Caenorhabditis elegans: one gene and its partner. The protein of the gene in region 1 purifies or fractionates together with the protein of each later gene. This does not show direct contact. Each region holds a gene or a part of one and is shown in the gene's direction. Other genes may lie near its edges. The genes, in order: Y76B12C.3 and pbs-5.

Region 1 (12,179 bases):
GAATTTTTGGCTATAAAATAACAAAAACTAACTAATTTCTCAATAGGGCACGCTTGCAACATCTGAACGGCGCGAAATTTGAATTTTTGGCCATAAAATAACGAAAATCGGCAAATTTCTCAATAGGGCGCGCTTGCAACATTCAAACGGCGCGAAATTTGAAATTTTTGAGTTGAAATCCTCACTTTCGCTTGTATTCTTTTCAAAAATCAATAATTATTCCAGAGCCGACACCCTGGAGCCTGAGGAGGAGCTTCTCGCTGTAATTTCATCGAAATTTGCTCAAAAACTCGAGATTTCTGACGAAGACCGCACCAAACTGAAGGATTTGAAAAAGTCGAAAACGTCAGCAAAAATCAATGGAAATGACGTGGAAATTATGACGTCACTAATCGATATTGTCTTTGGATATTGCTACGATCAACGTGTTAACGATTGGGAATCCGCGTGTGAAAGTGGATGGAATTGCGCTAAACTTTCGCCGAGCTTGAGCTTTTTCGCCAAATTTTCCAGTGTTAAAGAGGTCTCGGCACGATTTTTAGCTATATTTTTGCATTCAGCTTGTCGAGAGCTTTGAAATAAGTATAATCATGACTAGGTTCGGATGGTTTTAAAAAATCTTGAGTCTCGCAACGAAAACTTTAGCAAACTACAGTAATTTCGTGGTGAGACCCGAAAAATTTCCAAATCGTCGGAACCTAGTCATGATTATACTTAAAGTGAAGCTCTCGGTAAGCTGAATTCAAAAAACATATAAAAAAGCTAAAATTTTTCAAATTTTGTTTCAAGAAAAGATCTCGCAACGAAAATTTAGCGGCTACTCGATATTGTGTAGAAAAACCAAATTATTCAAGCTTTAAGCTATATTTTTGAATTCAGCTCACTGTGAGCTTTGATTTAAGTATAATCATGACCAGGCTCCGACGAAATTTAAAAATCGGGTCTCGCCACGAAAACTGCAAAAGATTCGTGACGAGACCCGAGAAATTTCAAAATCCTTGGAACCTAGTCATGATTATACTTAAATGAAAGCTCTCAAAACTAAAATAAAAGCTGAAAATTTTGAAAAAGTCAATATTTTTGCGGTGAGACCTAAAATTCTCATTCTTTCTACAATTTTCACATTTCATATTGATTAATGCTCATATTTGAAATCAGCTTGCTGAGAGCTTCAATTTAAGTATAATCATGGCCAGGTTTATCGAAACTTTTTTGCAATTTTGCAATTTTTTGCAATTTCAATTTAATTTCAATTCAATTTAAGTATAATCATGGCCAGGTTTATCGAAACTTTTTTGCGATTTTGCAATTTTTAGGGTCTCGCCACGAAAACTACAGAAGCTTCGTGGCGAGACCCGAGAAATTTCAAAATCGTCGGAGCCTAGTCATGATTATACTTAAATGAATGCTCTTGGAGAGCTGAATTCGATTTTCTTGATAAAAATAAAAATTTTTTTTGATAATTTTTTTCTTCAAATTCCCAAATTTCAGTGTCTCCTCGCGTGCACCCGCCGTGCACTCACCTACCCACTCTACCGTAGCTTCCAACTCACGCAACGTGTCATTCAGGACGTTTGCCACGTCATCACCGCCGGCGGTGGCCGTCCCGCCCTCCTGCACATTCTATGCGATTTACACCGAATTTTCATCGAATCCGGAGAATTTCGCTACATTTTGAACGATTTAATGATTGCCGACTACATTTTCTGGATTCAAACTGTGCCCGACGAGATTCTGACGCGAATTCAGACGGATTTGACGGAAATTTCGGGAAAAATCGATAAATACGATATTGGATGGGATTTGGAGGTGTTGGAAGCCGAGGCGAAACTGGCGAATACTCAACTTGACAGCGATGATGAGCCCGATAATTGATATGATTTTTAGAAAAATCGATAATTTATCGATTTTTTTTTTCAATTTTTTTGTTATTTTCTATTATTACCCACATTAATTGATTTTTCCGCTAAAAAATCGATAATTTCACAATTTTTTCTGTTGTTGCACACTTTGTTGAATTCTAAAATAATTACTCAATTTTTTCTCCAAATATCGATTTTTCGGGTTCGAAGCTCCTCACTCTACCTTTTTTCACCGATTCATTGATTTTTCAGCTAGAAAATCCGATATTCTTACAGATGTCAAAGCATCTCTACAAGCAGTACGTCAGAATCGCCGGAAAATGGCCGAAAGACGCATTTCGGGCGCCGGAAAGGTAGGGTTATACGCGACGCGACCGCAACGCGCGCTTCACTAAAAAATAATCAATAAAGTATCGATTTTTCCGCTAAATCTTCGCTAAAATCTACAAATTATCGATTATTTCCAAAATTGCCCTTTTTCAGAGACTTCTCCAATTTCCTCGTCAAAGAAATCGAACGGCAATTCCAGCCGGGAGTCGTCGCCTCTCAAGCGATTTGCGAGAAACGTCTTCAGGCGCTCGAGCAGCTGCTCAACAACGAAGTGCTCAAAAAACACCCGAATTCGTACTCCTCCGGCGTATTTGGAATGCGATTAGCCGATCTACAGGCGGCCTCGAGTGAAGAAAGCCGAAAACAGATGGGTCTACAGCCGAAAGTATCGATTTTCAAGCGATTATATCGATCCGTCGTGCCCGAGAAGAAATAATCGATTTTTATTGGATTTTTTTAGCTTTTTGAACGATAAAATTGCTTTATTTTCTGATTTCCCGTATTTTTCGATCGAAAACTTAAAAAAAAAATGTAAAAAACAGTCCGCTAAACAGGGCGCGCAAGCGGAATATCGGAGTGTCGTTTGTGTTTTGAATTTTAAAAATTTAAATTTTTGTTTAGAATTAATTTTTTTTGATTGAAATTTCGGTTTTTCCGCGGTTTCATCAGTTTTGTAGTGAAAAAACATTAAAAATAGCGGTTATTCATTAAAAAAAATCTAAAAATGATCGGCTGTTTCGATGATTTTTACGAATTACGCGCGTGAAATTTTAATTTTGTAGCGAAATTTGAAACTTTTCCAACCGAATCGCTTATTTTTAAGCGTTTTTTTTGTTAACTGTTCGCTATAAAAAATAAAAAATTCGACAGAATATCGGAACATCGTTTTTTTCCGAAATTTTTATTTTTAAAGCCAAATAGTTTATGAAAAATCAATAAATCAAAGCGAATTATTCATTTTAATAAAGGGAAAAAGTTCACAAAATCGTGCAGCACACCTTCTTCTTCGCCCGTATATCTTTAGGCTTTCGCTTTGTCGGCGGCGGAGGGGGGGCCGGTGGTCTCACTGAAAAATCAATAATTGATTTTTATTCTGAAAAATCGATAATTTACCCTTTTTCTTGGCGCTGCCGGAGGTGCCGGTGGCCACGGCAGCCTCCTTTTTCGTCTTTTTCATCGAACTTTTCTCCTTTTCCGTGCTGGGAGTCGTCGAGTTCTTCGTTTCCGTCGATTTATCGATTTTCTCCGTTTTCAATCGCTCTCGATCCCTCAGCTTTTTCTCCTTTTTCAACGCTTTCTTAATTTTCAAAATTTCCTCCTTCGATAGGTCCCCTTCGTCTTCGTCCTTTGATTTTTGCTTCTTTTCCATCGTTTCCTTCTCCCTTGGCGCCTGGAAAAAGGAGTAGTGAGTGAAATTTTATCGATTTTCTGTAGCAATTTTCAATATCGATCCACAACGATACATTTTCTTGTGAAAAATTACGCAAAATTATCGATTTTTCTACGAAAAAAAAATCGATAAATCCAAAAAATCTACGGGAAATATCCTTAAATCCTTTTTCACGGCCATTCGTCGATACACACGTGGTGCCACGTTTGATCTACCAAAAATGCGGAAATTTTTTGCCCAAATTATGTGACGAACTCCAGTCGGGACATGTAGCTGTGGAGATGATGAGGGTGGCCTAGATCACACTACCTAACCTGCAGTAGATCGAAGCCGATCCTGAAAGAAAATCTGTGGACGTCCCCCAAAGAAGCCGCCCGTGCCCTCGGGCTGGCCTATAAACCCTTCGATCCGGGCGGTGGAGCACATACGGCGGGCGTCTAGAACGGCGCTAGCGCCGCGTTGTTGCACAACAACAACAACAAAGTTGAGAACTCTGCGTCTCTTCTCCCGCTTTTTTTGTAGATATACGTAGATCAAGCCGAAATGATACACTCTGACGCCACGTGCACTGAGAGAAAAAATCCGAACAGCTCACGTGGTGTCGAGCTGACCGCGTGATCTACAAAAAATGCGGGAAGCGAGCCGCAAGGTTTCCCTCTGACGTCACACTTTTCTGGGCGAAATTTCCCGGATTTATTGTAGATCGAGCGGTGATGGGACAACCTTACACCATGTGGCAGCTTTGCAATTATCGATTTTCATTTGATTTTTCCATATAAAAATCAATAAATCAGACCTCTTCGAGTTCATCCTTCGTCTTAGTCTTCTCTCTTTCCTTCTCTTTTTCCTTCTCCTCAGTGACTTCCTTCGGTGGTTTTTCCTCCTTTTCCTCTTCCTTTTCTGCCTCTTTTTCCTCCTTATCCGCCTCGTTTTTCTCATGGGTTTTCTCTTTTTCCTTCTCTTTTTCCTTCTCCTTTTCCGCCGCCTCTTTCTCCGATTCCTTTTCCTCAAATTCGTCGATCAACTTGGGCCCTTCACGTGGCTTAGAGGGCACTTTTTTCGCCCGTTTTTTCTTTTCCGGAGCCCAGTCATCAATCTCACTCAGTCCGTCTGTCATATCATATCCAGGCTTTAGAATTACTTTACCCGATTTCGTGCACTGTGGTTGCTCGGCGCGGTGTGCTTCCATTTTTGAATCTGGAAATTTATGGCTCAGAATTGTTGTGGAGGCCCGTAGAATTGCTATGGGAGCACATTTTGCTGATTTTTAGGCTTAGGCTTATGCGTGGCCTTAGGCTTAGACATAGATTCATGCTTAGGCTTAGCCTCGAGCTTTTGCTTATGGTTAGGCAGGCTTAACTTTAGGCTTAGGCTTAGGTACAGGCTTAGGCTTAGATTCTGGCTTAGGCTTCGACTTTGGCTTAGGATTAGGCTTTAGACTTTAGGCTTAGGCTTTATGCTTAGGCTTAGGTTCAGGCCTAAGGTTAGGCTGAGGGGGGGGGGGCTTAGACCTAGACTTATCGGTGTCTGGGGAGAAAAAAAATTAAATCAAGAAATTTCAAGATATCAAAACTTTCTCTCAGCTATAAAAAACTTTAAAATTCTGCGAAAAAGGCTTTTGATGAGAATTTTCGGCAAATTCCCGGAAACATACGCTGGCCGAGTTTTCGCTTTTCCTAGGCCACCTAGAAAAGAAGCAAAAAAGTTACCTTTATGTGAATCGGTTTTGACTTTTCCAAGAAATCAGATTTTATCCTCGCCGTCTTTCCGCTAGCCGAGAAGAAAATAACAATAAATTTATTTTCTCACAGGTTGTCGGTTTTTTTTTTTTGAAAAATTTGAATTCTAAGTTCAATTCGAAGTTCAAAATGGCAATTTCACGGAATAATTATTCAATTTTTGTTGAAAATTAATTTTCTAGATTTAAATTAAAACATGCATTCAATTTGTCCTCTCTGAAGTTGTTCGGTTTTTGCGCCAGAAATACGGTACCAGGTCTCGACACGACAAATTTTTGTTAAATGGAAAACATGTGTGTGCGCCTTTAAAGAGTACTGTAATTTGTTGTCAAATACATTTTTATCGAAAAACTATTAAAAATCGATTAAAACCCCGAATATTTAAAATGACAGTACTCTTTAAAGGCGCACACCTTTTAGAATGAAAAAAAATCCTGTCGAGTCGAGACCCAGTACCGTATTTTCATCGCAGAAATCGAAAAATCGATAGTTTCCGACATTTTCGTGCTTTTTACCCAATTTTCCCCCCGAAAAATATGGATTTTTAGCTATATAAACTTGTACTTTTCCCCTATTTTCCCTCCCGTGAATGGGTTCCCTCCAAACTTTGCCCAAAACTGTCGTCAAATATGGTGTGGCGGTACCCGGCGGTGTTTGCACTGCTGACGTCGATTTGAGCCAATTTTGGAGCATTTTCCACGTATTTTAATGGGGATTTTCACTCATTTTTCATGGATTTTTTGCTATTCCAAAACAAAACAAAAAAAAATAAAAATTTCCAGCAAAATGTGGGTGATTTTCCTGCTGCTGGCCGCCGTGGTTTCGCCTATGTTCGGTGAAGTTGAAGAGTATAAAATTGATGTAGAGGAGTGCAAGGCGGCGGGATTCAATCCGGAGACTTTAAAGGTTTTTCTCCTGAAAATCTTGGCAAAAATCTGAAATTTTCGTAAATTTTCAGTGCGGATTATGCGAACGACTATCGGATTATCATCTGGAAACGCTGCTCACCGATTGTCTTCAGTGTTGTATTAAGGAAGAAGAGTTTAAGCACGAAGTACGCTTTAAAATTGGGATTTTTTTGTGAAAAAATCGATTTTTCCCGCTAGAAATCACCCAAAAATCGATTTTTTTTAAATTTCAGAAATATCCAACGGCAATTCTGGAAGTCTGCGAGTGCAATTTGGCTCGATTCCCACAAGTTCAAGGTGAAAATTGATTGGAAAAAGAGAATATGGCCCGAAAAATACCTCAAAAGCGAAAAAAACTAGCTTTTCACACTAACTGTCGATGATTTACGCGGCTCGTGTACTCCCCGAGGAGAAGATTTTGTAGTTTTTGGCAGAAATTCTTGATTTTGAGCCATTTTTGTTAAAATGTTTCGTTTTCAACGTTAAAAATGCTAATTTATCCTTATTTTTAGTATTTGAACATTAAAAAATGCCCGAAATAAGGGATATTTTGCCAAAAAAACCATAAAATCCTACTACTCGCGGAGTACACACGCTGCGTAAATCTACACGGGGCTGTGCTAGAGCTCATTTTTCTGAAAATCGAAAAATTCTGTTTCCCTATTTTTCGAGAGGATAAAAATCATTTTTCCAAGAATTTTCTGAAATTTCTCTATTTTTAGAAAATAAAACTATTTCATTCGAAAAGAAAGTTTCTGCCGATTTTTTGAAAAAAGTTTTTAAAAAAGCGAAAATATTATTATTTTTCCCTGAAAAATGTTTAAAAAAACTAGCTTTTCACACACACACGATGGTTTACGCGGCTCGTGTACTCCCCGAGGAGAAGATTTTGTAGTTTTTGGCGGAAATTCTATTTCAGATTTGGAACCATTTTTGTTGAAATTTTTCGTTTTCAATGCTAATTTATCTCTATTTTTAGTGTTTGAAAGCGAAATTCTGGGTAATTTTGGTGAAAAACAAGAAATTCTTATAAATACCCCGATTTACACGTTCAAATACTAATAAAAGTGAAAAATTTGCGATTGAAATTTAAAAAATTAGCGAAAAATGACCAAAAGCGAGTTTTTTTTTGCCGAAAAACCATAAAATCCTGTTTATCGAGAGAAAAAAGGGTAAAAAACTATTTTTAACAGAAAAAGTCTTAATTTTTTACGATTTGCTCGGAAAAATTTCGAAAATCGAAAAAATTTCAAGCTTTTTTTATTTTTATTTTTCATCAAAAACCCCGATATTTTCATAGAGCCATTAGGCCATTTGGGCTCGGCCGGGGTCGATTTACGGCGCGTTGCGTGTCGCGTCGCGGCTCAAAAAAATAATTTTCCGTGTGGAGTACACGACTTTCTCTTTTTTTCATTTTTGCAATAATAATTTTTATGATTTTATTCGAAAAAAACCGAAAATCGAAAAATAAAAAAACTTTTTTTTAAATTTTTCAGTGAAATTTTCAACACCCAAAAAATCAATAATTCCAGCATTCGTCCATAAGGATATGGCTCGTCAATTCGGTGGAAAAGTGAAAGTTAAGCATGTACGAGGTGTCCGACCACAAGTTGCACTGAAAGATGCCGATTTTAAGACAAAAGAGGTGCTCAGCGTTGAGAAATGGGATACCGATACGCTCATCGACTTTTTCAATCAATGGCTCGAATAATTTTTTGTTATTAAATTCGATTTTCACCCCATATTTTCCTGACTCTCTCTCTCCATGTTTTCACTGGTATTTTTTAAATTATTTTCCAATTTTTTTTGCTGTAGTGGGCTGGTTAATAAAAGCAACAAGGTTCCGATATTTTCATTTTTCACATTAATTTCAGATTTTCATCACGACTCTTCTAGAATATTCCAAGCTTCTCCCTTTCATTTCATAATTACATTATCCTCCCCCACAGGGAGAAGGAACAAGTAAAATGAGAAGAAAACTAAAAATAATCGAATTATTACTGACTATGAGCTACAAATAGAGCTATAGTGGACCACTTGGCTCCAGTTTTGCCGGAAATTGATTACCTGAGCTCAGGCGCCTCCTGAGCCATTTTCGGCTTCTAATTGCCAGTTTGCCGGTTTGCAGGAATTTTTCATTTTCAGCAAATTGCCGGTTTCGCCAATTTGCCGGAATTTTTCATTTTCAGCAAATTGCCGGTTTGCCAATTTTCCGGAAATTTTAATTTCCGGCAAATTGCCAGTTTTCTGATTTGCAGGAATTTTTCAATTCCGGCTAATTGCCGGTTTGCCAATTTGCTGGAAATTTTCATTTTCAGAAAATTGCCGGTTTGCCAATTTGCCGGAAATTTTCATTTCCGGCAAATGTCAAGTTTTCTGCTTTGCTGGAATTTTTTATTTTGGGCAAATTGCCGGAATTTTCATTTACGGCAAATTTCCGTCTTGCAGGAAGTTTTCAATTCCGGCAAATTGTCGGTTTTCTACTTTGCCGGAAATTTTTATTTTCGGCAAATTGCAGGTTTGCCAATTTGCCGGAAAATTTCAATTCCGGCAAATTGCCGGTTTTTCGATTTGCCGGAAATTTTCAATTCCGGCCGATTGTCGGTTTGCCAATTAGCCGGAAATGGCCATTTTAGCAAATTGTCGGTTTGCCAATTTGCCGGAAATTTTCAGTTCAGGCAACTTGCCGATTTTCCAATTTGCCTGAAATGTTCAATTTCGGCAACTTGCCGGTTTTCCGATTTGCAGGAAAATTCCAATTCCGGCAAATTGTCGGTTTTCCGATTTGCCGAATATTTTAATTTTCGGCAAATTGCCGGTTTGCCAATTTGCCGGAAATTTTTATTTTCGGCAAACTGCCAGTTTTCTGCTTTGCCGGCAATGTTCATTTTCGGCAAATTGCCAGTTTTCCAATTTACCGAAAATGTTCATTTTCAGAAAATTGCCGGTTTTCTGCTTTGCCGGAAATTTCAATTCCTGCAAATTGTCGGTTTTCCGATTTGCCGGTTCATCAATTTTCCGGAAACTTTCATTTTCGGTTAATTGCCAGTTTGCCGGAAGTTTTTATTTTCGGCAAGTAGCCGGTTTTCCGATTTGCCGCAATTTTCGTTATAATTCTGAAAATTTCTGCAATTTAGAGAATTTCGGCGCACATTACGGGAACACAAAGTCCTGAGAATGCGTATTGCACAATATATTTGACGCGCAAGATATCTCGTAGCGAAAACTACAGTAATTCTTTAAATGACTACTGTAGCGCTGTTGTGTCGATTTACGGGCTCGGTCAGCGATATTCGATTTTGTAAGGATTCCACCCTTTTCACTTCTCATTTTACATAAATAAATACTAATTTATTTGTCTGTAAATTCTCTCTGATAATTTACAGAAAGAACGGACGAAATCGGTCGAGGACAACGATTTCTACAGCGAAGGCAATCCGCGAGGAGGAGAAACTCCAGTTCAAACCGCCGCCAAGCTACAGAAGGTCGCATTGTCGCGCCGAGACCCGTCGTCGTTAAAGGCTGCGTCTTTAACCCGGAAATGCCTATATAAGGAGAGGACGACGCTCATTTGTGATCATTTCTTAACTCTTTAACCCGTTACTTGTCGTTTTCCCTTTTCTCTCGTTTACTCTGTTTCGACGATGCAATTAGTCTGTTCCCTTTTACTTAATAAACCCTTATAAGATCGATCAGTGTGCGTGAGTGGCAGTTACATCCTATACCTTTATTATTTTCCTCCGGTTTCTTCGTATTATTTTCTTAATTTTCGCCTAATTTTAATATTCTATCGAGAAATAAATGATTAAAATTCATTTCATATATGGAGCCCGTAAATCGACACATCAGCGCTACAATAGTCATATAAAGAATTACTGTAGTTTTCGCTACGAGACATTTTGCGCGCCAAATATGTTGTGCAGTACGCATTCTCAGAATTTTGTGTTTGCGTAATAGTAATTCTCCAAAAAACTGTTTGTTCTAGTCTGAAAAATCCGTATAGGCTTTCACTAAATGGCCTCCTGGATAGAAAACTAGGCCTCCAAACTAGTCATCAGGTTCAAAGTTCCGAGAAAAAAAATTCTGCAGAACTCGATTTTCTAGAATTTCCCTGAAATATGCACAATCTTTAAACTGGGCAGGTGCAAAAACTTGCGTAATCCTCGATTCTTGAACTTTGAGCAGCTTCTCCTCGCCTGCTGCTCCTCACCTATTCAAACTTCACACGCCTCCTAGCCGTACTAATAATGGATGTAATTATCCAGTTTTTTTTCTTTTTTTCTGGTCGAGCGCAAATTAAAAAAAAAAATTTTTTTTAATGCGTGTACATTTTCCCGGAGCTCACTCACTCAAAAAATGAGCTACTTGGATTACACTTTTGACTGAATTGATGAATTCTAAATTCAGAATTCATCAGTGCCCTCCGCAACTAAGATATTCAGCAAGAGTAGCTCATTTCGACGGCAAAGCCAATATCATGAATATTCGATTAGAAGGAGCGTGTAGAGATATAAAACAACTTTTTTTTCTATTATGTGCTCTGGAAGACGGGCTCCGGCTCACGAATAGAGTCTATTTCCCCACCCGTGTTTTTTTGATTTTTCTCGGATTTTTTTTCAGTTCAAGCTTGAGGCTCAAGCTCAGAAGCTGTCGAAAACTCGAATTCCTTTAATTCATCATTCCTTTCGGATTACTATAAATATGTTTGTTCTTCTTCTTCTAAGCTCTGTGAAAAATAAATACATGTGCTAATGGCAGTTTGTCTTGCCATCCGTGTCAGTTTCAGTCGATCATGATGTCGTTTTTTTTTATGATAGAGTGCTCATTCTGTCGTATTTTCACCATTTAAAAGATACGCCAGTTTTCAGGCGGTTTTGGTGTCAGAGAGCCCCAGTTCGGATTGATCTACAAAAAATGCGGGAAAAGTGACGCAGAGTTGTCAACTGATTTCGCATGATTAATAACTTTCTGACGTCACATTTTTTTTGGGCAAGGATCTCCCGTATTTTTTGTAGATCAAACCGTAATGGGACAGCCTAGAGTACCCCATTTCGGTTTGATCTACGTAGATCTACGAGAATCGCGGGAATATTGGCGCAGACTTCTGAACTGATTTAGCGTGCTGACGTCACAATTTTTGGGAAAGAAATTCCCGCATTTTTTGTAGATCAAACCGCGATAGGACAGCTTGACACCACGTGGAACCTCGTTTCCAGAATTTCGAGTATTTTTTGTCGGAGTTATGGCGGAGTTAGACAGTTTACCTTATCACGGGTTCGCAAAGCTTGGAGAATGCGTATTGCGCAACATATTTGACGCGCAAAATATCTAAACTACAGTAATTTTTTACATGACTACTGTAGCTCTTGTGTCGATTTATGGGCTTAATTTTTTGAAATTAATTGATCAAATATGCTGTGCAATACACATTCTCAGAATATTGTGTCCCCGTAATACAAGATTGTTGAAAAAACGGAAGTTTTCGTGACATTGAGTTGAAGCTTTTGGAAATTCTTTGAGTTTGTAGACGGTGTAAGGGATAGTAACGGGGGGTCCCGTAGCAGTCGTGGTGGTGCCAGGCTGTCTCATTACGGTTTGATCTACAAAAAATGCGGGATTTGTTTGCTAAAAAATGTGACGTCAGCACGTTCAAATCAGTTGAAAACATTGCGTCTCTTCTCCCGGCATTTTTGTAGATCAAACCTTTTTCAGTAGCACAGATACGAGAATTCCTGCCAGACCCGAAAGTAGGCAGGCACGTAGGCATTTTAAAAATGCCTACTTCTTATCCCAGAGACGATCCATTTGGAGTTCTCCACAGTTGAGATGTACGGAGCCAATTTTTCCACGTTTTCTTTTGAGTTCTCACTATAGAAAAGCCCAAACAATGTACACGTGGTGTCAGGCTGTCCCATCATGGTTTGATCTACAAAAAATGCGGGAATGTTTT
Region 2 (11,561 bases), on another chromosome or scaffold:
ATGATCCACAGACTTGTCTTCATATAGTTGAAAATAAGGGAGCCAAAGATTTATTCAATGCCATCAACAAGTTTGACAATGAACCTTTACAACTTGAAATTCTTCGCATATTGAAAAGATTGGTGGTTTGTGCGAATGCAAGTTTCGAGAATTTCATAGAGTTTAATGTTAAGTACTTGAAGTGAGTTAAGCATTTACACACTATTAGACATTCCCCTTAAATTTATCATAATTTCAGAAAAACATTCAACAAATGGAAGTCAGACAGGCTTTACCTTCTGCACTCAATCTTTTCGATTCTTTTGAATCAAACACGGCGAGGTTTTCGAAATTATGTGAATCGACTGTTGAGAAACAATTATCATCGACTGGAAACAAGTGAAATTGTAGATATCGATTTGCCAATTTTCCATAGCTTATTTGCGTCAACACAATTTGATGGGCCTATCCTTTGGGCTCTTTTTAAAATAGAAAAGTTCTTAGAGCAACACGATGACGGCAGAAGAATTGTGGAAAAATTCAATATACTCAACTTGATAATCAATATCAAAATAAAGTCGAAACTGGTGAAAGTCGCTAAAGAACGAATCTTACTAATTCTTAAATAGTATTAGAAAATCAAACAAAGTTCCGGCTTCTATACCCGAGAAATCAAACAATTAAACCCTTTCATTACCAATTTCAAATAAATTTTCAAAATTAAATTTCTATCGATTTTCGAGCCAACTCCATTATTTCTATTACCCATATATGGTATACAAACTAAAAAAGGATAACCAGGCTCGACACGACAAGTTTTTTGTCAAAAACAAAAATATGTGCGCTTGTAAATAGCACTGAAACTTGTTATCGCCTAAATTTATGTTTTCAAAGTTTTCACGTTGTTCTATTTTAAAACTATTAGGAGTTTCAATCCTGAAATTCCATTAAGCATCTTGATCCTGAACACACTGTAATCTTTACATTTGCTCTATCAGCCGACTTTCCAGCCGTACAGCCCTGATCCTGATACCAGTGTCACTTATGTGCGATTGGAGAAGATTTAGAAAGGAATCGTAGAGTTTTAAAAGTCTTCTTTACTAACTTACGGGCGGTTTATTGGAAATATTACGGGCTATTAGGGAAGGAGCATGGTGCCGATATGAAAAAGCATAACAACTAGAGACCCTAAACATTCAATTTTATATTCAATTATTCAATTGTTTTCCTTCATTCTTATGTGTATCATGTTTTGCATTCTTTTTTTATGACCCGATTATAAAATCGTATTGACATATATAAATTTAAAAAAATTAGTTAATTTACAGTTAATTGTTTCTCGTTGTTATTCAATTGTTACTAGGAAATATAAATTTCATAACTTTTTCGGAAACTTCTCTCCCAGAGTAGAGAAAAGGGAACAAATAATTAGATTGGCAGCAGCAGCAGCAGAAGCTTCTCTTAAAGTGAATAAGTGGACGGAGGACCGACTGAAGAAGATGAGACTACCAATTAGGAGCAATTGGAGCACATGCTCGGAGCTGCAAAGGATACTACTTTCTATGGAAAGCTTTCTGCAAATTGAAGAATATTTAAAGGCTGTAAATTTTTTTTGAAGTTTTTTATTCTAGCAGTTGAAAACGAAAGAATCGCAACTGTAGAAAAATTTCAGTTAGGATAATTTCAAACTTTAGTTGTAAGAAGGATAAACCAAGATATGGGCGGAGCTTGCAAAACTCCACCCATTTCCTGGTTCAAAATTTCCAGTTTCTTTTCAAATTGAGTGAAGATTGTTTTATAAGAAAACTTGAAATTTTTGAGCTACCCCCCACTTCTTGGTTTCCCCTCAGACTTATGAAAAACCTACATTTTTTCACCGAATGTTTTTTTTTCCAAATCCAAAAAAAGAAGACGTTCATTTTCTCGTAGACTAATGTATTTTTCTGCCAAATTTCCCTGCCCCATTCTGCTCTCTCTCTCTTCGTTTTCCGTTAAAATGAAGAGCACCCACCAAAATGAAGGCGAAGAAGCAATTCCATCTTCTCGTCCTTTTCCTCTCTCAATTTTCGGGCGAGTGTATTCAGATGGAGCAGCTGAAGAAGAGCACACTCTTTTCCTTCTGAAGGTCCCTCCAAAAATGGATAAGTGGACAAAGAAGATGTAGTAGAAAAAGGAGAAGAAGATACATCGATTTTTTATTTCAATTTCCATTTTTTTTTCTCTTCTGCATTTTTTTTTTCTACATTTTCTAGTCTTTTAAGCCAAATATAGGTTTAGCTAGGCTTTCTGTTAGGCTTAGACCTAGGTTTAGGCTTAGGCTTAGGTCTATTTTGAACTTTTTTCAATGCAATTCCCGATTTTTAAAAAATATTTTTTAGAGTATAATTTTGCCACAAAATATTGATGGCCGAGCATTTTTTTTCAGTGGCCGAACTTTATATGTTCGCGGCCACGTGACTTGTATCTCATTTGATCTTTTCTTTTTGGTGTTTCAGAAAATTTAAAACCTTGACCTACCTGATACACTGGCCGTGAAATTGTGAAAACTCGGCCACCAATTTTCACGCGGCCACGTGGCTCTTCCAAAAAACCAAAAAAAAATTGGACAATCTCTACTTTCTTTTCAAAATTTGTTTCCTTCAAAAAATTATCTTTTCTGTCCAAAGAACAATAGAAAACTTGAAATTTCTGGAAAAAACAAAAACTAATTTATTTCTAATTTTTCTGTGGGGATTATTATTCATACCAAATTTTTCTATTTTTTCAGATGGTAAAATGATTGAATATCTGTTATTCATCATTATCAACGTCATCACACTGATCACATGCTCATATTGTCCCATAAAGCATATTCATTCGTCTACACCCACTACAGGTGAGCTCTGGAAGTTTCCATAGAACATTAAAAAAAAATGGTGCAATTGCAGGATTCATTGAATCTCCGGGATATCCATCGGCATTCTCTGCACCTCTTGACTGTATATTCAACATAACAACAGCTGCATCGAATGTGATCCAATTATCATTTGTCTCATTTGATCTAGCATCAAAAAATCAATTAAGTGATCAATGCCTGGATAGTTATCTTCTGGTTGTTGTAGTTGATAGACATGGTAGACAACATGTTGGTGAGAGGTTATGTGGGAATCAGGTTCCACTGTCTATTAATACTATGCAATCATGGATGCAAGTTCAATTCGTCACTACTTCAACTAATCAGAAGCATCGAGGGTTTAGGATTCAGTACAGGATTCTTTCGGAGGGTAGGTAGAGCTGGAAACTAGTATAATTTTTTTCAACCAGTTCTTTGTAGACAACTTTTCTATCTTGTTTCTTTTCAATTTCCCATGCTTCTTGCGAAGTTCTAGCAAATTTTCCCTTTAAAAATACCATTTCCAGCAGCAATCCAGGAGCCATCTTCAACCCTCGGAGAATCAATGTTCAGTGGTTGTGGTGGACATTCCACTCCTGGACAACTTTCTGGTGAGGTTTTAAGAAATTTGTAAATTTTTGCCACATGGCTGCGTGAAAAGTTGGGGACCAAGTTTCCTATTCTCGCGGCCAAGGGTGTCAGTGTCCCGTAAAAATTACAAAAACGGGACAACGGGAATTCCCGTTCCCGTGAAAACGCTCAAAAACGGGACAAAAGACGTCCCGTTCCCGTAAAAATGACAAAAACGGGACAGCGGGAATTCCCGTTCCCGTGAAAACACCCCAAAAACGGGACAACGGGACAAACGGGAATTGACACCCTTGCTCGCGGCCACGACACCTTCATGTTTCGAAAAATTTTGAAGAGGAAAAGTGCTTTAATTGGTGGCCGAGGTTTGTTTCTTTCTAGGCTACGTTGCAAAAACTGTTACCTTACTACGTGGCCGTGGAATGAAAATACTCGGACACCAGGTGATTTTTTTTTTTGAAATTTCAAAATTTCAAAATCTATAAAACTATTTCTGTAATGGTGCGTCCATAGTCTGCGGAAAACGGGAATTTCCCGCGTGCGGAAGCGTCCATAGTCTGCGGAAAAACCGTAGTTTCCTCGCTTTTTTTTCCTCAAAATTCAAAAAAGTAGGCGTGGTCTTTTTTCGCTTTCCCATTGCTCAGCTTAAAATTTTACAACCTCTAATTTGTTGGACACGCCCACTATTTTGAAATTGACCAATAACAAAGCGAGAAACTCCTTCTTTTTTCCGCAGACTATGGACGCTTCCGCACGCGGGAAATTCCCGTTTTCCGCAGACTATGGACACACCATAAGAAATTCAAAAAACTTAAAATCTGAAACTTCTACATTATACAATTATAATATTCAGGTGAAATACTGTCACCAGGCTATCCAACCACATATCCGAAGAATTCCACGTGTAATTGGTTGATCCGTGTAGAAGCCCGACAACGAATCTACATTCGAATAGTTCATTTACACTTGGCCCCCACTATTGCAGAATGTGAACGAGCATCACTAACAATAATCGATGGATATAAACATGAAAAATATGGAATTGATCGAAAGGAATCCACGTCAGAGACGTCTGAAGCAAAATTCTGTGGAAGTCAGCTGTATTATGCAGAAGAGGGAATGAAAAGCTATTTATCAAGTGCAAATCGAATTGTTGTACGATTTATTACACAGGAAGGACCACCGTCTTCAATGATTGGGGAAGAGAGGATTGGATTTAAAGTTGTATGGACTGCAGTGGAGGGTCTGATTGGAGAAGGTGATGAGAGTGTTAATGGAAATTCTTGTAAGGATCAATTTATGTGCCATGGGGGACAAGTTTGTGTTGAACAGGTTTGTGAAAAATCAGAATGTTTTCAATGAATCTATATGTAGTTCCTTGTTATTTTTTAGAAATTAACTTGAATCATAAATTCAAAAAAAAAGAGTTGTTTAATTACAAAACTTTTTATTTAATCCAAAATTTTGGGTTAGTGTAGTCACTAAAGTACGCAAACGGAACTACAGTACCCAAAAACATCCCATTTCACGACATTTGCTAGTTTCGAGCTGGAAAATTGATTTTTGAACGGGAGAAAACATAAATTCGACAGTCTGAATATTCGAAAAAAAAGGAGAAATTCTAAAGTTGAACAGAACCTATTTAGAATAAATTTTGTTTTGTAAGAAAAATTAATTAGCCTTTTCGTGATTTGTATTTTTGATATTTAACAAATTGAATTGCCACAATGCTGAAATCCATGTATTTTCAATTACTTTTTTCTACTTCAGGGTCATGGAATTTGCGCTTCACGGTCCCGTCTCTGCATTCACAGCTCTCTCGTTTGTGACGGAATCCATAATTGTGTTGAAGGAGATTTCTCCGACGAGCAACACTGTAAGCTCATTTTCCAGTAAAATCCAAGATCTAAAAATTTCCAGGTTACTCCCGAGAGATAATAACATCGGCGGCACTCGGATTCTCGTTGATTGTGCTCACGATGCTCGTCTTGGTGTGCTGTGATCAGTTCAGGAAGCGGCGACGGCTTCGGGTGATGATTCGGGAACGAAGAGCCGCGTCGGAGAATGGGAAATGTAAAAATATGAATAATAATTCGATTACAACACGGATACAGCCGAACCGGTGACTATTAGAGAGCGAATTGTGAATGTTTTCGCGATTCGCTCGACAAATTTATCGAATTTTTCACAATTTTATAATTTAAAATTGCTTTTCAGTTAATGTAACGGAGCTTTTTTCTTTTATTTTTAATTTGAAACTTTAATAAACATTATTCAAACATATAAATTATTTACTTTCGACAATTTTCAAGTGTTTTGCCTGGCAGAATAGAAAGAATTATGGAAATATTAATTCTTTATCAGCGGGAAAGTAAAAGAAAAATAACGGCAACTCCGTGCGGCGATATTGCGAAAACCGCGCGCGCGCATTGCAAAGGGGCGGAGACTCGTCTTTTTGTCATCTTTTGTCATCACTAAAACTAACTAAAACAAAATTTTCTATATCTTTCGCAGGTTTTCGCTTTTTTAACGAGTTTTCTCATTCTTTCTATGGAAATACTGATGAATGTGTAGAGTTGGTCGATATTGGGACCTGTGAAATTTATACTTTCAGCTCAGATGTTATTCTTCGCTGTTTCTTCTTAATTTCTCTTTTTAATCACTTGAAACTCAATTATATCTTTATTTCAGCTCACTTCAAGCGGGAATGTCATCACGAGGAGTTCGAGCGGCGGGTACCGATGGGACGGACTTCCAAAATCGGCAGAGGGTCGCACAGCACTACCAGGAGAGCGCTCAATACAAGTCGATCCTCAAGTGGTTCTTCGTTCCACACTTCTTGATCCTGGTCTTCATGTGGCTCAAGGTTGGCAGCGAACTCCTCCGAACAAATTTCGGATGGAAAAACGCGTTCTTCGATCGACTGGACATGCCGTCAGCCTACCCATGGGAGTATGTGTGGTGCTTCTCATTCATTCCGATCGTCCTCGCCATCTATTCGTTCCAACGAAACAAAGTAATTTATTTATTGATCAATTTGCCACAAATATAACTTCTTATTTCAGCTCAAGATCCTCCACTACGCCTACTATGCCGAGTTCGTCGTCGGAATCTTCCCATGCATGATCGGGCTTGGAGGACAACTTCCAGAGCTGATGGAGTATGCTCAAGACATGGAGGGAAGCAACACACCGACATTCAAAGGAATCTTCCCGATGGTCATCATATGGTACATCTTCTTCGCGGTCGCACTCCAGATTCACGGATTCTCCATGTACTTCATGCATCACCTTGCCGCCGCATGGGCTCCAGTCAAGCGAGATTAAATTTTCTCCGTTTTGTGATATTATTTTTCAATTTTCCCCCATTTGTTGAGTTGTGTACCTTTTCCTTGTTAATAGTATTTTTATTCAAATTCCTGCTAGTCTCTATTGCCAAATTAATAATTCCATATCTTTTATTTATTTTCTTACTTTTTCTAATTACCGGTTACTGTTCTACAGTTCCGTTGATACTTTTCTGTTTCAATATTGATTGCATTTGTTTCATTTTGTTAAATCAATTTTCAGAATCGAACTCCAAAGATGTGGGGCGAGACATTCGACGATTTCGAGAATGACGAAGGAGAGATGGCAATGGCCAAGCAGAACCTGATCGCCGAGCCGGCTCGAGCTGATTTCACTTTCGCGAAGCTTCCGTTGGGAATCCAGCCCGTCGATTTCATGAAGACTCACTTCGCCGAGACCGCCGGAAAATCCATGCAATTCCGCAAAGGAACCACCACATTGGCGTTCGTCTACGAGCCAGCAACTCCAGCTGACAAGGGAGGAATCATTGTGGCTGTCGATTCACGAGCCTCCAGTGGTGAATACATCTCATCCAAGTCGGTCATGAAGATCTTGGACATCGGAGATCGTATGGTTGCCACGATGGCTGGAGGAGCTGCTGACTGTCAGTTCTGGACCCGAATTGTCGCCAAGTACTGCACGTGAGTTTCAATATTTTCAGCTTCAAAACAAAAATAATTATTTATTTTCAGTTTGTACGAGCTCCGCGAGAAGACCTCAATCACCGTGAGCGCCGCGAGCAAGTACTTTGCAAATACGCTCTATGGATACAGAGGACAAGGATTGTCAGTTGGATCGATGGTGGCCGGATACGATAAGAAGGGACCACAAATCTTCAAAGTCGACTCGGAAGGAGATCGTTGCCAGCTTAAAGTGTGCTCAGTTGGCTCAGGATCTCTGAATGCCTACGGTATCCTCGATAATCACTACAAGCCAAAGATGACGGACGACGAGGCCAGAAAGCTCGGCCTGCGTGCGATCATGCACGCCACTTATCGGGATTCTGGATCCGGAGGCGTCTGCAATTGTACGTGAAGCTTTTTGCTCGGCTATTCCACAAAATGGACCATTTTTCACTAAAAATGGCTTTTATTTTGTCTAAAATTTAAATTTTAGACGATTTTTATTCGAAAAAATTCTTCGGATAAATGAAAAAATTGGTTCATTTTGTGAAATCTCCGGCCACCTTTAATCTAATCGCTTCTATTTTTCATCCTCCAAATTTCAGTGTGCCACATCACGCCAACCGAAAAGATTCGTCTTCCACCAATGGACGTGAGCAAGCTGTGGTACGAGTTTGCCGATGAGCTCGGCAGAGATATCACCTACAACCCAGTCGAGTGATTCAATTTCCCTACGCTGAAATTAATTTTATTCTTCTTACATGTATTTGATGTCTGATCCGATCCCGATTTTTTTTACATACACACCCGTCTTTAAAATGTCATTTATTTCTATTTTTCGTTTCCAATTAATTTATTCTTCTTTTGCTAAATACTCTCTGTACATTAAGTTCTAAAGTTTTCAAGTTCGAAATCCCGAATTTAGGCTTAGAATTTAGAATTTCCCTCGACAACAGGGGTGGCTGGAAGAAACTCTCAATCACATGGCACAAATTGGATTTTTGGAACATTAATATCAAGTAGTTCTAGAGGGATACTGAGATGGAGTTACACTCAAAAGTTTATTGCAATTTTCGAATGTGAAAATCAAGTTAAAGCGATATGTGTCGGCTGGGTGTTGATGACGTGGTGATTATAACAGCTGGAGTCCCATTAGTGTTCCGCCACGCAGGGCCTATTCGTGTTCCAGCTGGAAATAGTTTAATTGTGCTATTATTTGAATTGTTTTTTTCCATTAAAATTGAGAAAAAGTGCGATTTTAAGAGTAATGGGTATCAGTAGGATCTAAATATTTTAGCTACCGTACCCAGGAATATTTTGCAACTTTCTCTAATTTTTTCGACAGCTTTGGATTGTACAGTTTTGGCTGAGAAAGTCAATGGGTAGTTCGAAATTTGCCAAAACTAAGTTTTCCGTAGATCAAACACAAAGGTTGCGCGCCAAATATGATGTTTTGAGTCCTCAATCGGAAAGTACGCAAAGACACACAAAATGCATCAGATTTGACGCGCAAACTTCATTTTTCTTGTTTGTGAAAAAAATATAATATTTTTTTAAAAACTTACAGGACATAGAAGGTGCCACAGATGCCCGTTCTATAAGCTCAATTTGCTGCTCTCTCCGCCTGGGAAGCATCGGACGGCGGCTCTCGGAGCCCACACTATCGCCAGCTTTATTATATATAATGGCACTGGAACGATCGAATTGTGGCTCCTTTTGCATATTATTTATAAAATGGTAACAAGCGGTAAGCATGACGCCCATGAAAATTCCAATGCAGAAGAGTAATCCGACAAGAATCCACGGGAAATCAGATGGCTTGAAGGAATAGGAACTTGGCTGGAAAAATCGAAAATTGGTAAGTGGTCAGCATGCGCGCTCTAATGTTAAAAGAAATATAAATTGTTGGTGTTGGGTCCTGCCGTTATCTAAATTGATATAAACATTTAAGCTACCATAGTCACGAATATTTTTTTTTTTTTTCATTTTGTTAGAATATTTTCGTCGTACAAACCGATAATCGGCAAAATTTTTAAAAAAGTTAAAAACTCTGTAACCGCGCTCCAATGATAAATAATAGAATTGTCGGGTCCCACCACAATCGAATCTTTTCATCTACCTTGAAATTTGCATAATAACAGAAATTGGAAAATTATTTGAAATTCAAAAAATATCTCATTTTTCAGCGGGAATTGGAATTTTACGGAAGCTGGCTTTTTCAGAGTCGATGCACCATGTGCAAAATTTTGACAGGGGATATCTCTTGGTTCATTTTGAAGGTACCAACAAATTTTTAAACTGCAAAATTATCTTTAAAAATTTGGCGTCAAATGTGGTGTATTGTGTCCACAAAGGAAAAATAACCGAAAACACTAGATTTGACGCGCAAATTCTCACCGTAGACGTTTGCTCTTTCTTCTGCGTAGGCGGTGGTGGAAGTGAAGCAGAAATGACACGTGAGCCACCTGGTTCGACGGCTTTCCAGTAGAATTCTTTGTTATTTATTTTTTCCTGTAAAAATAATAGTTTTCGATTTAAAAAATATGAAAGAGACAAACTTTAAGCCTAGGATCGGCGTCTTTTCCCATACTCTGAATAATTTCGGCCGCCAATTTCGGTGTCATTTCTTTTCCGCCACGTATCTCGTAGTAGTTCGTACCGTACTCATTGTTTCGTACCGCCTGAAAGTTTGAAATTAAAAAAAAAAAACGAAACCCAAAAAGTTGCACGTGGTGTCAGGCTGTCCCACTACGGTTTGATCTACAAAAAATGCGGAAATTTTTTTACAAAAAATGTGACGTCAGCCCGCTCAATGTGAAATTAGTTGAAAAGTCTGCGTCTATATTTCTGCGATTCTCGTAGATCTACATTGATCAAACCGATATGGGACATTCTGACACCACGTGTAGTTGTAGTAGAACTCACACTGTAAGTAGTATTTTCTGGATCTTCAGCTTCTGGTTTTTGGGAGAGTCGGACACTGAACACGTGCACAGAACAGTCTGCAAACTTTATTTGTTGAAAAAATCGCTTCGAGACCTAGAAAAAGTGCGGTATAGCGTAATTGCATACTTCGTTGAAAATTGCATGTCAAACATTGTGTATTGTAACCAAAAATCGCAAATTTGAAATCCCGTAAATATTTCGCTTCTTTCCAATAAAATTACTTGAAACTCAAATTTTTGCGGCGAATTGTAATGTGAACATCATGTTTGACGCGCAAATTTAAGAAAAAACGAACCATTAGGCGGCTGACACTGTGGAATAACAACAGAAAGTGCCGAAAGTACGGCGGTAAACAGAATAAGTAACATTTTCGGCTTTCTTCTCGAAATTTCAAAAATCATCACCGAGTACTACGGTGAATCATTATAGCTATATTGGTTTTAAAAATTTGAATTTGATTTTAAAAAAAGTTTTTTTTTGGAAATTCGTTTTTCTTTGAATAACAATCACAGTGCCGATGAAGAGAAGGAAAAAACCGAAAATAATATATAAAAGAAGTTACACACTCTCAGATAGACAGAAAAAGAGACATACATACACATTGATAAGGAAATCATCGGAAAATTGAGAGTGAGAGTGAGAGTGAGAAAGAGAGAATTAGAGACAAATAGTTGTAATTGATTGAGAGAGATTTGATATGTGACTGGTTATTTTGGTGGTCTAGAATATCAACAAAAAAAAACTAGACCTAAATTAGCTTGTTCCATAGCCGGAGACAAAAATTGCGCGTCTAATGTGGTGTTTTGGTGCGCAACCGGAGAGTACGCAAACACTGACCAAATGCACCAAGCGGAGCCTGCACTACAGTAACATAATTACTTATATATAAAACCAGACGCTGACCGCGCCCCCGGCGCATCCAACTGGCTGGAATAAATTTCAAATACCCCTTGAAAATAGCAGTGCAATTTTGAAATTAATTTGATTTTTTTGAAAATGAAAACTTTCAAAGTAACGGTAATTTTGCGTGTTGGCATAGCCTACATTGGACGGAAGGAAACTCTACTTTATATATATTATTATTATTGAATACGTTTATTTGAACGTGAAAATAAGAGAAGAAAAAGGGGAAAAAATATAAATTATATTGAATATTGTGGAATAATACAGAAAAGTGGGAACGGGTTGAGGCCTTGTTACATAACC

What was found.
Region 2: the proteins of Y76B12C.3 (region 1) and pbs-5 fractionate together in Caenorhabditis elegans (co-fractionation; one large-scale study listed by BioGRID). This does not show direct contact.

What each region holds. Positions count from the first base shown.
Region 1 is NC_003282.8:1,967,601-1,979,779, forward strand, and holds Y76B12C.3 (Selenoprotein F), read left to right. Parts: upstream 1-6,104; 5' UTR 6,105-6,107; coding exon 6,108-6,227; intron 6,228-6,279; coding exon 6,280-6,375; intron 6,376-6,462; coding exon 6,463-6,526; intron 6,527-7,761; coding exon 7,762-7,940; 3' UTR 7,941-8,082; downstream 8,083-12,179. Other genes in the region: shq-1 (Protein SHQ1 homolog), read left to right, coding at 226-523, 1,492-1,875; Y48A5A.3 (Ubiquinol-cytochrome-c reductase complex assembly factor 2), read left to right, coding at 2,139-2,215, 2,346-2,628; Y76B12C.4 (Translation initiation factor IF-2), read right to left, coding at 3,170-3,258, 3,306-3,582, 4,379-4,771.
Region 2 is NC_003279.8:14,715,925-14,727,485, reverse strand, and holds pbs-5 (Proteasome subunit pbs-5), read left to right. Parts: upstream 1-7,008; 5' UTR 7,009-7,023; coding exon 7,024-7,427; intron 7,428-7,478; coding exon 7,479-7,813; intron 7,814-8,014; coding exon 8,015-8,130; 3' UTR 8,131-8,319; downstream 8,320-11,561. Other genes in the region: K05C4.9 (Protein zyg-11 homolog B), read left to right, coding at 1-181, 239-608; K05C4.10 (uncharacterized protein), read right to left, coding at 1,355-1,553, 1,847-2,190; sol-2 (CUB domain-containing protein), read left to right, coding at 2,755-2,854, 2,907-3,242, 3,379-3,462, 4,293-4,771, 5,210-5,315, 5,360-5,565; K05C4.2 (Protein jagunal homolog), read left to right, coding at 6,147-6,455, 6,505-6,765; Y54E5A.8 (Conserved plasma membrane protein), read right to left, coding at 8,501-8,598, 8,975-9,248, 9,807-9,920, 9,968-10,090, 10,335-10,411, 10,651-10,723. UniProt on the Caenorhabditis elegans protein: Component of the 20S core proteasome complex involved in the proteolytic degradation of most intracellular proteins. This complex plays numerous essential roles within the cell by associating with different regulatory particles.